Oreochromis niloticus: one gene and its partner. The protein of the gene in region 1 binds, or shares a complex with, the protein of each later gene. Links are inferred from orthologs where the notes say so. Each region holds a gene or a part of one and is shown in the gene's direction. Other genes may lie near its edges.

The links.
Region 2: pole (region 1) and pole4 share a complex: the UniProt entries of both Homo sapiens proteins name them as parts of the DNA polymerase epsilon complex. The link is inferred for Oreochromis niloticus from reciprocal best matches to the Homo sapiens genes POLE and POLE4.

What each region holds. Positions count from the first base shown.
Region 1 is NC_031977.2:17,883,584-17,890,936, reverse strand, and holds the start of pole (DNA polymerase epsilon catalytic subunit A), read left to right. Parts: upstream 1-4,265; 5' UTR 4,266-4,450; coding exon 4,451-4,515; intron 4,516-4,622; coding exon 4,623-4,758; intron 4,759-4,845; coding exon 4,846-4,926; intron 4,927-5,018; coding exon 5,019-5,063; intron 5,064-5,139; coding exon 5,140-5,232; intron 5,233-6,058; coding exon 6,059-6,213; intron 6,214-6,309; coding exon 6,310-6,454; intron 6,455-6,549; coding exon 6,550-6,630; intron 6,631-6,733; coding exon 6,734-6,841; intron 6,842-6,927; coding exon 6,928-7,038; intron 7,039-7,125; coding exon 7,126-7,211; intron 7,212-7,353. UniProt on the Homo sapiens protein: Catalytic component of the DNA polymerase epsilon complex. Participates in chromosomal DNA replication.
Region 2 is NC_031986.2:41,692,761-41,700,126, forward strand, and holds the start of pole4 (DNA polymerase epsilon subunit 4), read left to right. Parts: upstream 1-4,292; 5' UTR 4,293-4,431; coding exon 4,432-4,677; intron 4,678-5,631; coding exon 5,632-5,716; intron 5,717-7,119; coding exon 7,120-7,161; intron 7,162-7,329; coding exon 7,330-7,343; 3' UTR 7,344-7,366. Other genes in the region: serine/threonine-protein kinase NIM1, read right to left, coding at 327-723. UniProt on the Homo sapiens protein: Accessory component of the DNA polymerase epsilon complex. Participates in DNA repair and in chromosomal DNA replication.

The sequences.
Region 1 (7,353 bases):
TTTAAAAACTGGAGTCTGAACTATGAATGTGAAAAATAGTTTAGTGTCAGTCACCACCTGGTGGCTGAAAGCTGCAGCTGTAATTTTCATCTAAAACACAAAAGGGTCATTCCATCTCAAATCATCTCATTTCTTGATCATGAACCATCTTTGAGTTGCCGGAAATCTTGGACATGTATGATAATTGCCTGTGAATTCCTATCCTAGTTTTTGTAAAGCCTATCTTTCAGGCCTTGCTTGGGCACATGCACACACAGCGACCGGCAGTGAATGAGAGCTTGGTGTCCTAAGTTTTTAAGTTTTCATCGTTTCTTTTCGTTTCTATTGCTGGCATTGAAGGGATGCCAAATGCTGTCATTTTACTGTAAAGCAAATTTACCTCGCCTATGGCTATAAATAAAGTTACCTTGACCTTGACCTTGACACTGTAATGAAAGCCTTCAGTGAAGTCCCATATTTGAATATACATTAATAAAACAAACTTAACTCTGCAAAAGACAACTAATGACAATGTCTGAATGGTCTATAGTTGTATTTGAGAATAATGGAAAATAAAATATGTAAAGGACTTTATAAATAGGAAATTCTTAGTCACAAAAATGAAAAATAAAATGCTATTTTTGTTCAGCTTTCATGCTGGATTGACCAAATATGACATGTCGGACCATAAAAAACAAAAATATCAGTAGATAGTCTAATCGCAATAGAACTACATTCTGGAGTTTCCAGGTGGTACATTAAGTCTATCTGAGAGAATAATTTTGTTAAATATGTGGAGGATTTTAATTATCAAAAACCACATACACTTTGTCCTGGATGAGTCTGATAATTCATGTTAAGAATAAAATTTATTAAGACGCATTAAAAAGACAACAAGTAAGGACATAATCTTCTCTGAACATGCAAATAAATGCAGTAAATCAATTAAGATTCATTAAGCGGAATGAAAAATGAATTCTTGGTTCATATGAAACATTGTTGCATTTTTTTAAAGGACTGCTTTCATGTTTTATTTTTTATTTTTTAGATTTTTCCCAATTTTTCAGTGTAACTTTCCCAAATTACAGATCCTGACTAATTTTTAATGGCAGGAAAGGCCACTATCAGGGTATAAAGGATTGTGATACATAATGCAAAATTTTCAATTTCCAGCATTAAATTGTTTTTTGGAAAATATGGTCAAGTAAAAGGTGATTTGAGATTAAATGACCCCAAAGAAATATGGAAAAAAAGACATTTCTAGATTTTAAAAATGGGATAGACTGTTTTAACTTGCCATTTCAGGGCAAATGATGACTATAACAACTAAGAAAACAACTAAGTAATTGCTTTTTTCAGCCATTATTATGTTTTAATTGGGCAACTGTTCATATACTTAATGTTTAAGACTATTTTTTAAAAGATCACTATTATCACTATTAAATATTTGTCTTTCTCCAAGCATTGGAAAAAGCACAATTCTTTTGATGTCCAAACTTAATGAATCCCCATAAAAAATAAACTCCTCTTTAAAGCATGTTAAAATACATCATGACTATAAGAAAAACTGAAATACTAAGTCGTGTTTGTCTCTGTGTACTGTTTAAGTTGCTGATTTGAAGGTCAGAGGTCAGACACTCTCTCAGGACAGCAACACTGAAGTTCTTACTTTCATATATTAAGTAAATTATTCAGTAAATTCAGTCAAACAGAAGTAAGAATAAGAGAAGTAATTACAATCTCAGAGGTCACGTGTATACTTTAGGTGACTAAGTCCTATGCATACACACATGAGTGTGTTATCTATGACAGCTGGACCTGGCTGCAGGCTACATTTCCCAGCGAGAGTCCTGTAAACAGCCTGCCTGTAACAGCTGACATGGAGAGCATGCGCTGCTTCATGTGGGGTAAAGGTCAGCACTGAGGGAATGAAAGGAAGGGAAGTTCAGGTGAAGGAGGATGGGAAAGAAAAAAAAACATCCATAAAAAACAGCAGCAATAGCAGGAACACTTGAACACATCCAAATACAGAATCTAAATTAGACACATGCGTTCTTTGTCCCATTGAAAGATTTCATTGTTTATGTTTTTTTTTAGATAAAGAAAAAATATAAAGATTTATTAACATCCAGTCTGTATAATAGAAGCACAAAATTAGTGAATTTATCCTTTGGAGCAAATTTAAAGCTGACGCAAAAAAGGAAAAGGCTAAACCGTCACTTTCCTCGAGAAACAACAAGATCTGAAGGAATGTATTTATGAAATAGCTTTACTTTTCATTTTTATCTTTATTTTCTTAATATATATCCTGATACCATATAGCAGATGAATTATTTCTCTTGTGCTTTTCCTTAAAGAACAGACTTATTCTCACATGACTCCCTGTTTTAAATAAAAGTTAAGCACATCAATTTTTTATAGGAGTTTTTTTTTTTTTATGTCACTTTTAAAAAGGTGCATCCAACTTCTGGCGTGAACATTTTACCTTGTAAACTTACAAATATCTGTGAACTCTGACAGAAAAGTTGAACTAAACACAACAACTGATTCTGCCTGACATAAAAGTTAAATCAGCCCACTGATCTGATCTTTTCCAGAGTTCAGTCTGGAGAAAAACGGGACTGTCTTTTAAGTTAAAGTTAACGTGTAAATCAAAACATGCCATTGTCACTCACCTGCACACACTCAGAAACCGGGCAGCTCTGCTCCCGGGTTGTTGATTGCGTTGTTTCACACAGCCAGAGAGCAACAGTACCAGGCTAACCGATTTAAACCCACTGATTATTTCCCACACCTCCACACCACTCGGAACTTATCATGAATTAAAACACATCCGTCATTATCTTATTAATGTGACACAGACCCCAGAATCCCTCCAAACTCTACCGCTGCCAATGTCTTTATGATTATAGACAGTGCCTCGCCAGCAGCTACAAATGTCAAAGTCACCTACCACTACCTCCACTCCACAGCGGGAGAGTAAACATGTGCGTGGGGAGGGGGTTCCTCCCAGAGTTAAGGGTTCCTCTGAAGATCGTGTATACTCGAGATGTTCCTGCTCGATAGAAATCAGTAAGCATCTTCCGATTAGCGGAAAAATGTTTGGTTCGTCGGTCTTCTGTTGAGTTCATGAACAATGGGAAAAAAGTATACTTGAACTTTAAGACCGTTCAGTTCATATTAAAAAATCAATGTATCAACAAGCACCTTTTTTTTTCAAATAATGGAATCTGATTGATATGATGCCCACCTTTGTTTTCATTTCCTGTTTATTCTGTATTATGTGTGTGATGAACCTTTCCAGGAGTTGTCATCCTCCAAGAGCACCCAGAACAGTTAAGGTCAGTGATCACGATTCAATAATAAGAAAGAGACTAGGCAAAAATGGCACCCATTTTTGCCTAGTCTCTTTTTGCCATGAGGCACCCACTTCTGAACAAAAAGGACACAAAGGCTCGTCTCACATTTGCCAACAAAAAAACAGCTTCCCTTCCCAGATCCCTGAGATTTTTGTGGACTGATGAGACAAAAGCTGAACTTTTTGAGTCCCATTACACCTGCTGTAAAACTAACATAGCATTTCATAAAAAGAACACACTCAACAGTCAAACGTGGTGGTGGTAGTGTGAACAGCTTTGTTGCTTCAGGACTTGGAAGACTTGCAGTGATTGGTGAATCCATGAATTTTATTCTCTACCAGAAAGTCCTGCAGGAGAATGTCTGGTCATCAGATCATGCCCTGAAGCTCAAGGCTGGACTTGGATTATGCAGCAGGACAATAATCGAAAACACACCAACAAGTACACAACTGAATGGTTAGAAACAAAGAAACATTTTTTTTTAGCTAAATGAAGTTTTTGGAGAGACCGTGCCAAAGTCTAGACTCAAATCTGATTGAGATCCTTTCGCACAGTTTTTTTGTTTTTTGTTTTTTGTTTTTTAAGTCATGTCATATATGATATCATAGGTAATATGTGACAGGGAAGGCTGAATTTTACCAGGAAGCAGTAGTCTACCCAAAAAACTAGTAGTCTACCCAAAAAACTAAAATCAAAGTGTGTGTGTATATATATATATATATATATATATATATATATATCACGTAAACACTTTGCTTTCTAACGTTTTTTTTATTTATTTTGTTGTTGTTTTGTTTTTTAAAGGCACATCTATGAGCCCCAACGTTACAATGAACATGACATTCAACCTAAATAGATACGTCTCAACACCACCGTGAGGGATTCATCTCCCTTATTAACGATCTTTGTACTTCCGGTTCTCAGCTCCGTCCTCTCGCGGCAACTGCAGGAACGCGCCAAAATAGGAAAACAGCAGGCGAGTCTGTGACAGGCGCAGAGAAATCCAGCAGACAAAACTTTGAAATTAAAGCGACGTGTCTTCAAATGCGGCTTCACGCACACATTTAGCTGTTTTATTTTAGTGTTTTGTAACCAGAACATCGCGATAGAAGATGGTTCTGCAGAACAGTGGACGCTACAAAGCGGACCGAGGACCGAGTGGGGATCCGGAAAGCCAGTAAGTCCAGCAGCTCAAAAACTTCATAACACTTTCTTATTCAGAATATTAATGGATGACCGAGGACTGTGAGGATTTAGTGTCACTGTTGCGTGTGTTTGAACCAGGGATGATGGATCCTCCTTATCGGCCCTCAAGCGGCTGGAGCGCAGTCAGTTCACCGACGAGATGGACGCTCGCTTCGGATTCGACAGGATGAAGGAGCCGGGAGAGAAAACGGGCTGGCTGATCAACATGCACCCCGTGAGTCCTCGCAGTGAGACAGTTTTTACTTTCTGTCTGCTGCAAAATAAACACTTAACATTTATTTTTGATGCTCTGCATTTGTAGGCAGAGATCCTGGATGAAGACAAGAGGATGATCAGCGCGGTGGACTATTATTTCATACAGGAGGATGGAAGCAGGTTCAAGGTGTGTTTGGGGGGAAAGCAGAGTGCTGTAACGCAGCTTATTAAATGCCCTGCATTTTACATTTTCTCTCATGTATTCTGTCTGTGCTGTAGGTGTCTCTGCCCTTCAAGCCATATTTTTACATTGCGACGAAAAAGGTAAGTTAGTGACTGTGATTATGCCAAGTGAACATGTTTTTTAAAAAGTAATAAATAACAAAATGTGTATGTCCAGAACTGCGAGAGAGAAGTCATCTCATACTTATCTAAGAAGTTCCAAGGAAAGGTGGCAAAGCTCGAAATTCTCCCAAAAGAAGACCTGGACCTGGTGAGAGTTTCAACTGACTTTAAGTTATCTAATAAATAAATAGTTAGTAAATAAATAAGTCAAATAAATGTAGATAAATAAATATTTTCTATATTTATTTACACAGAATTAATGAAGGAATAGTTGGCAGTTAATTAATGGATGATTTTTGACAAGAGCGCCACCACAACACATTTTCAGTCATATAGAAATCTAATCTGTTTATGTATGCTCACCGGACACTTCATTAGATATGTCTCACTAGTACTGGGCTGGAAGGCTGGATGATCCATGCTTTCACGTTGCTTATGTCAGATTCTGACTCAACCATCAAAATGTCGTATCAACGAGGTGTACTGCCACTTACTGGATATTTTCCCTTTTTTTTGGACTATTCTCGGTAAACTCTAGAGATGTTTATGAAGGTAAAACTCAGCTGATCAGCAGTTTATGAAATACTCAGACCAGCCTGTTAGGCATGGCACGTTCAGAGTCCGTTAAATCATCTTTCCTCCACATTCTGATGCTCAGTTTGAACTTGAGCGGGTCGTCTTGACCACTTCTGCTTGTTTTTATGCATTAAGATGCTGCCATGTGATTGGGTGGTTTGTTTCAGTGAGCAGTTGAATGGCTGTACCTAAGAAAGTGGTCAAGTGAGTGTACGTCTTTTAAGAAAAATCTAAAAAAATATATCCTCTTACCACTGTGGCACTCTTGTCCTTAGTATTTAAAAAAAAAACGGCTCTTGAATATCAGTGTTTTTGAAGGTATCATGAACCCTATTGGCTGCTAGTGTTGACTTTGTACAGCCAATCACATGCTGATTCTGCTGATCTGGTCTCTCCAGCCAAACCACCTTGTCGGACTGAAGAGAAACTACATCAAGCTGGCGTTCAACACCGTGGACGACCTCGTGAAGGTCAAGCGTGAGATTGCCCCGGCGGTACGTAAAAACCGAGAGAGGGAGCAGTCCAACGATGCCTACACCTCAATGTTGTCAAGGTATCACCGAACCTTCGATCCCGTTAGATTCCTTTGATGTTCCGCCTGACGTTTCCAGCTTTATAATAACTCCCGGACACCTTTTTGTCCTTTTAGTGCGCTATCAGGAGGCAACGTGACCTCAGTGGATGAAGACGGGATGTCAAAGAGTATTTCAGATCAGTTAGACAACATAGTGGACATGAGAGAGTATGACGTGCCTTACCATGTGCGTGTGTCCATTGACCTCAAGATCCACGTGGTAAGATCAACTATATCTGGTTCCAGTGTTTTCCAGTGAAATGTTCCTCTACACCTGTGCGTGCTCTTCTTATCTTTACTGTCTTTATTTTTCAGGCTCACTGGTACAACGTTCGATACAGAGGCAGCGCTTACCCGCCAGAGATTGTACGGAGAGACGATCTTGTGGAGCGACCGGTATCAGGATTTTGTTGTTTTAAGCCTTCCATCATCCATTCAGAGTTATACAGAAGTTTTGATTTATGTCGGGGCTTTTCTGTGAAACGCTGTTTCCCTGCAGGACCCCGTTGTTTTGGCGTTTGACATCGAGACCACCAAGCTTCCGCTGAAATTCCCAGACGCGGAGACGGATCAAATTATGATGATCTCCTACATGATAGATGGACAGGTGAGGTTCATTTGCGTTTGATTTTTAAAGTTTTTGTTATGATCCTGTTTGTAATATCATCTAACAATCCTTGTGTTTTCACGTAGGGGTTTCTAATCACAAACCGAGAGATCGTCTCTGAGAACATTGAGGATTTTGAGTTTACCCCCAAACCTGAGTATGAAGGGCCATTCACTGTTTTTAATGAGGACAATGAGGTATGTAGCCACTAACAATAAAGCATTGATGTATAAAAGGCTGCTGTGTGTTTCTGTCAGTTTAATAACACGCTGTAACGGTTGCAGGCAGCTCTCATTCAGAGGTGGTTTGATCACGTTCAAGAAACAAAGCCAAACATCTTTGTGACCTACAATGGAGACTTCTTTGATTGGTAAGCCTATTTCCTGTTTCTGTAAAAGCCAGTTACTTACTTTAAAGGTGAAGTGGGTAGAATACATTACAGGCAGTGGCTGCAGTGAACACTTTATTATTTTTAAGTCCTTGGTTTCACTTCAGCTCAAGCAAAAGTGACC
Region 2 (7,366 bases), on another chromosome or scaffold:
GGGGAGGGAGAAGGCTTAGCTGTCAGTGACAGATTTAAAGAAGGTCTGATGAGGTTAAGGACTGAAATAAGGACGGATGTATATTTAGGAGATTTAATACAAGAACAGATGAGACGCATCTGATCAAAAGGAGGGGAATTAGCTTTTAACAGGATGATTGTTGCAGCGATTTTTAAAGTCTGCACAGATTTATGGTGCTCTTAAACACTTATTCAGAACACTGGAATGTGAGTGAAGCAGGAATGAGTTTGAAACACATAAAAAAGATGACTAACGGTGACTGAATAACTGGGACGCAACATCCTAAATAACTGATGGTTCTTTACCTTTCGTCAAGGCATGGATGCCCAGCCTAACTGTAGAGAAGTTGCCTTGCCCGATTTCTCCACGCAGCTCGTAAAAGCCGACCCTTCTACCGAGCACGAGGTCATTGACGATCTTCTCGTTGTGGGTCATGTCATAGACGATCCTCTCAAACGGAGACTGCTTCATCCTCTCTGCGTCAGTCAGCTGCGGGATGGCACACGTGGCAGCAGAAGCCAGGGGCTTGGCTGGTTTTTGCGTCTTCGGAGAGTCATCTTTGGATTTTTTGCTTGTTTTCTGTTTCGGCCACAGACGCATTTTGATGGCTTGGAAGTAAAAGCAAAAATAGTGTGAAAATGTTGCAGCAGTGCTGTGTGAAATAGCAGAAATATTAGGATTTCCTTTAGACCGAGACGACATCGCTTCTTAGACAAACACCTTTGTGTGTGCAAAACTCAGTGCGCACACAAGTTGTGTAAGTAGAGCTGTATGGGACATGGATAATAAGATTGACCTCAATGCCAACTTACTTGGTATGTAACTGTACATCCCACATAAGTCAAAACGTCAGGCTGTATTCTGCCTAAATTTAACCCTAGTTTCTATCTGCACTTTTAAACTGTCAGTGGATATTATTGAAAATGATGCTATGATGGACAAGAATGTGGCAAACTGGATTTTAATTTATTTTGCTATCACTCATCTGCTAATGTTATATTCTTTTGCTTTAGGAGAACAAAAACAAAGTATAATCTGAAATGAATAAAACTGAATCTCTTCTCCTGGTTAGAGCTTCCACTCACACCGTTTCTGAAAATACTTTCAACACCGCACCTCTGCGGGGTTAGTGTTGTGATTACTATGCAGGAAACATGATTTCTGGATCATGGTAAATGGATTTCAATATGTCCGTTTTCATTTTTAATGGACAAAAGCAGGATGTTGACCGTTCCTGTTTTTTCTGCTCTGGGAATTGAAGTTTTCATTTTTTGGACGCAGTTCTTAAGAATCAGCATGTTAATTTAATTTTTTTTTTTTGATAGTGTACAAATTTCTCTCAAACAGAACAATGGTTTGGCTCGAACGATTGCCTCGTACGGTGTTTCTTTTGTTTTTACAGGAAATTGTGCAGTACAGTCTGAGCATTGCATAGAGTCTCAAATCTGACCCGACAGTCAGGTCAGGTGCCAGACTGGCTACTTGAATCCTGTGTGGGCATCTTGGAGAGCACGCATAACCTCTCAAAAATGACTGTGAGCAAAATGAACCAGCCAGTCAACTATTACCAATAATAATAAACAAATATTAAACATTACAGTGCGATTATGTTTTTCCTCCTCTTGGACTTTGTCGATCAAATATAGCCGAGGATTACTTGGGTTTTTTAGATGGAGAATTAGAGCCATTTAGCTTGCAGACAGCTATTTATAGGATGCTAATGAAGACTAGACTGGCAGAACAAGAATGAACAGAGCTGCCAAATTAGGATTACACTTCCACACTGCGTATGAAACTGAGCAGGCAGATGATTATTATCAGCATTTGGATCCATGTGAAACAGCTTTTCTATTATTCTTGTTAAATCTACCTGTAAATGTAACTGCTTGTATGACTGGAGCGATGTAGTCACTGTGAAAAATAATAGCAATGAATGAGATTTAATGAGTAGCTTTGAATCATCTTTTGTGGAAAATTCCCATATAAGAGTGGAGCTATATTCAGTTGCCAATCTGGCACTTCTGAAATAGAATAAAATTTTAAATCATCCAAATATGGGTTTTCTAAATCTTACTAATCACCAAGGCTACAGCTGATAAGAGATTCTATACAGATGATTTAAAGTACTTTTTAAAAAGGTACATCTAATTCTGAAAACAACACGAAAAAGAAACAAATCACATTAGTTGATCATTAACAGTAATAAAACTAAAATATTTTACCTGGGAGCTGTGAGTCCTTCATATCTCTTCCTCAGAGTGTAACACCTGACTGTGGCTGAACATGTGAATGGAGCTTCAGTGGACTAAAGCAGTCCTCACAATCCTATTAACAGAGTGTATTAGTGGACTGCTGACATGACCTGACACAATGGAAATGCTGCAAAGATACTTTCAAAGAATAAAAATAAGCATGCCTCGCTTTCCTACTGATGATAATGCTCATGTAACTTACACATGAAAGCAAGCTAGTGGGCGTTCTTTTCATTAGACCATATTTATTGTTTGTCAGATGGCAACGTCAAGCTCTAAAAAAAAATATATAAAAATATATAAATAAATAAAAACTAAAAAGTGTTATAATAACTTTCTGGAATAAAATAAAGTGCTAATGAAAACAGCTTCATACATTAAAATATTCAGGTAAGAAGAGTTTAATGTGCTTAGATGCTCTATTGCAGGTGGACTGGAGCCTATTCCAGCTACTATAGGGTGAGAGGCAGGGTACACCCTGGACAGGTTGCCAATCTGACACAAGGCTAACACAGAGAGACGGAAAACTAACCCTAACCCACGCAAACACGTAGAGAAACATAAAAGAACTAGCAGATTACTAAATGCACAGCTTTAAGCTTTAATAGCTCTTTAGGCTCTTTAACACTTTAAAGCCTGAACCATATTAAGCATATTAATATAGTGATTTTCTCAAATAACTGCCAGAAAATTAAATTTTCTTTGGAAATAGAGTGTTTAGGGAACCTTCTAATGAAATAAGAATAAATTAATTAATATTAATTTGCATATATGAGCTTTAATTTCTATCTTATTTGCTACATCAGGCTTTTTTGCCATTTATTCCTTAAAAATGCATATGAAGGGAAGATGTTTTTATTAATATAGGCAGAAGAAGAAGGTTTGTGGGTCTAACACTGTACTCATCGGTGAAAGTGACAAGTTACCAGAAAGTCATAAGCATTGCAGATTTTGGTAAATATGAGGGAAACTATCACAAGGAAAATAAAGCGGCAGTATATTCTGAAATAGAGGTTTTGTAGACTTTTAATTTTTTTTTTCAGTTTTACACAGGAGAAAATATGATGTGAACATATATGCCATAATTGGATAAAATGCCAATATTGTTAGATATGGATGAAAAGAATGTCTGAGAATCTATGAATTCATTCAATTGAAACCCAAACACTGTTGTCAGATAAAACAGCAGCTGAAATAACTGAGAATTAGTTAATAAAGACTATAACATGAGACCATAAGAGCAAACTTCAGCTTCCGATTAATCATACTGTATTCACATAACAAGAGAGCCCAGAAAAAGAGTTTAAATGAATCAAGTTCTAAATATCACAAAATCAGCGAGCTTAAAAAGATTGCAGGTGTTATGATATTAGATGGTAAAGTGTTCAGCCATAGCCATACACCACAGCCACACTTGGATGACCTCTGTGTCAGCTGATGAAGGAATCCACACAGTGCGTTGAATCTAACAGCAACAATAATAATTAAAAGTAGAGCTAATACTGGACACCAGATAGAAACAAAACTTCAAATGAATGCAATTTTACTGACTTGAAGTCTGTATAAGCCATTTATATTTCACCAAGTTCATAATAGAGTATATTGATGTACAGTACTGATGTACAGGGTTGTTTTTAATAGTTTGTTCCCACTGCCCCCTAGTGGAAATATTGAGGAGTAAAGATGAGTTTTCCCACTTTTAGGGAAATGTAACAAAAAATAACATTTAGCGCATACACAAAATAATCTAAAATTACAAAGTTATAAAAACGATATATTTTAACCATACAATAGCAAAGTGTTATTTGTGGCCAACTTCACCTGCGACTTCGTGTCTACACTCCGACCCCTTGGTTAGTAGGGCTCTGGCTACACCCCGCTATCTAGGCGGCAATGTGCGGTGAATGACGTTTAACTTTAGCCAATAGCGAGGCCTGGATTCACAATCTGTCCAATCACCGAAGAGGATTAGTTGGCGGGGCCTGCACTCACTGACGAATCAGCGCAGGCCTTCTCACGAAAGCCCGGAACCACATGCTGGCGCGCGCCCGCTGCGGTTGTTGATGTTATTATCTGTGACATGTAGCTATTAAACTGTAGTCGTTTCTACGTGTGTGTTTATTTCTTAAGTCATAGAATTAGCGCAAAATATCAGAAAATGGCAGCAACAGTGACGACGAGTCTTGTGACCGCAACGGAGCACGACCCTGACCGGTGTGAGAGTGAGGAGGAGACCCGCGGGGCCGAGGCGGAGGACAGCGGCCAGCAGCAGACGGGCCCAGTCACGGTGAGCCACAGCCGGCTGTCCAAACTCCCGCTGGCCCGCATCAAGGCTCTGATGAAGACCGACCCAGACGTGTCCCTCGCCAGCCAGGAGTCTGTGTTCATCATCGCTAAAGCCACGGTGAGACCACTGATATCCTAACCGGTCCTGGTAACACGAGTGCTGACTCTCTATATGATGCTATCAAACTTAAGTGCAGATAGTAAATAATCTATTTTTTAAATGTTTATATTTCATTTTAGTTTATTTATCAGCCATGACCTAAATTTATCAACCTGAAATTACTGAAGTATATTTAAACTTTAGTCTAGGTTAACCTTTGGAATAAACGCACAGTCTAACGAAAACGTTAGAGTCAAACTGAACTAACTTCATGCTAGATGAATGAAAGCTAGTAGAAGCAAGATGGGATACATGTGTGAGAGGGAGACAGGTGTAACAGTAAAGCTGCAAGGAGCAGAGGTAGTAAAGGTAGATGAGTTTAAATACCTGGGACAAACAGTGCTCAAGAGAGGTCAAGAAGAGAGTGCAGGCAGGGTGGAGGTGAGTGTTGGGAGACTGTGTGACAGAAGGTTTACAAGACCTGGTGTCAGTGAGACTTGCTACGATGTAAGGTTTGGAGATGGTGGCGGCAGGAGCAGAGCTGGAGGTGCTCAGATTTTCGTTGGGAGAGACCAAGAGGGACAAGATTAGAAACAGAGTGTTTTAGAAGGACAGCTCAGGTTGAGTGCTTTGGGGTTAAAGACAGACTTCAGAGACAATGGTTTGGACATGTACAGAGAAGAGATGGTGGATATATTGGATGCTGACTGTGGAGCTGCCAGGCAAGAAGAAAAGAGGAAAGATCTTAGAGGAGGTTCATTGATGCGGTGAAAGAGCATGCTAGCGATCGGGTGGCATGGAGGCAGATGATCTGCTGTGGTGACTGTTAAGGGAGCAGCCAGTTGTGCAAAAACAGGTGCATTTCAGCACAAATATATTTTATCAGTGGCTTCTGTTAATAAAAAAAAATCTATTTCTGATAGTTTCTCTGGTTGATTTTGAATGATTTCTTTTGAATTTCTTTTTGTACAGGAGTTGTTTGTTGAGATGATTGCCAAAGATGCTCTAGTGTATGCACAGCAAGGGAAGAGGAAAACTTTGCAAAGAAAAGACTTGGGTAAGTGGATTAAACATGTGCTTTATTCCATTTAAAGTCTACTCGCATAAATAGAAAATGGGCTGGTGCTTGTATAGCATTTTCCTGTTCTATCAAAGAACATCAAAGCACTTTCCTTCTGCAAGCCTCTTTCACCCATTCATATATGTGCCTTTTCTGTGCCTGTGTGCTTCTAACCTAACAGAGACACAGTCACCCTCCAGTGGTGATCAGTGTCTTACGCAAAGATAATTATACAACCTGCTTCATAAGCCTGAATTTGACAGTTGTGCATATTTCTCAGAATAACAGCTACATCACGCTGAGATTTGACTTGAAGAAACAGGACGTGCTTTAATTTTAGGCCCCTGTTCCTTTTCTGTGACTGATTCAAATATCAACATTACAACTCAAAAACATGCTACACATGTCGCTTTGTACTCAGTAGAGAAATACCCTGTGTCTCACCCCTGTGTTCTGTCTTCAGCAACAATTTTACTTTTCGGTCCCTACCTGAGGCACCCGTGTCTGTTTAGTTTGTGTGTTTGACATATGGTTTGTAATAATAATAATCTAGGAATGCTACGAACAAGAGGGCTTATCTCATGCACCAAAATCCTGAGATAATGTTAGCTAAGTAAACTTACATTAAATCAGTACAACCAAAAAAACATCCAACACTGGACACACTACGTCCTAATTCAGAGCAAGCTAATGGCTCAGTCACAAGTAAAAATAGGACAACAGGCTCCTTGCAGCTACAAAACAAAAAAAAATGGCGATTGTATTCACTTTTTTTACATTTCTAAAACTGATTGTAACTTGTGGTGACTAGATGGTTTCCCAGAGCTTGAAGGTGTTGCATACTCACAACTATTTTTGAACACTCCTGATAGGAGGCAGGCTTTCTGCAAACAGATGCAGTTTGACTTAGTCTGTCTACAGTCACTCTCAGAGAGCTTGTTCAGAGGTATCAAATCGATAAAGGCAGAGAGATTGGCAACATGTTGCCATCACTCTGAAGGAGTCTATGTCAATGAGCACAACTCGATTGGACTTATTTGTGATTTTTGACAAAGTTTGCCGTATTATTAGAAACAGATTGCATGTCATTTATGACTTACCGACTGACTCCATGTTATGGCAAATTTATGGCAGGTTTTAGTGACAGTGTTAGTTCTCTTGAGAATCTCATTTTGCAGCAAAAAAAAGGACAACTGAAGTGAGATAACTTTATCTTATTGGATAAAACAGATTGACAGAGTTAGAGGAAATAATTTGCAGTTGAAAAAAGGTGATAAATCACAACATCCGTCATTGCAATACTCAGCATTTTGCAAAATGTTGCTAATTCGCAATTATATGACACCATGAGTAAAATATTGTGATAATATTGTATCATTTGTTTTCTTTTGACCCTGCAGACAATGCAATAGAAGCCATAGATGAGTTTGCATTTCTCGAAGGTAAGCCATACAAAGATAAAAATAAAAAAAATAAACTTTTAAAGTTGTCTGCATTACGATGCTGATTGAATTCGTCACATGCACAAAATTCAGTATTCCACTTAGTATTGAATTTATTGCCTCAGTTTTGAACCAGAATATGTTTTACTGACTTTATTTTTTCTGCAGGCACACTGGATTAAAGACTGCTTCAGGAGACTGGTCA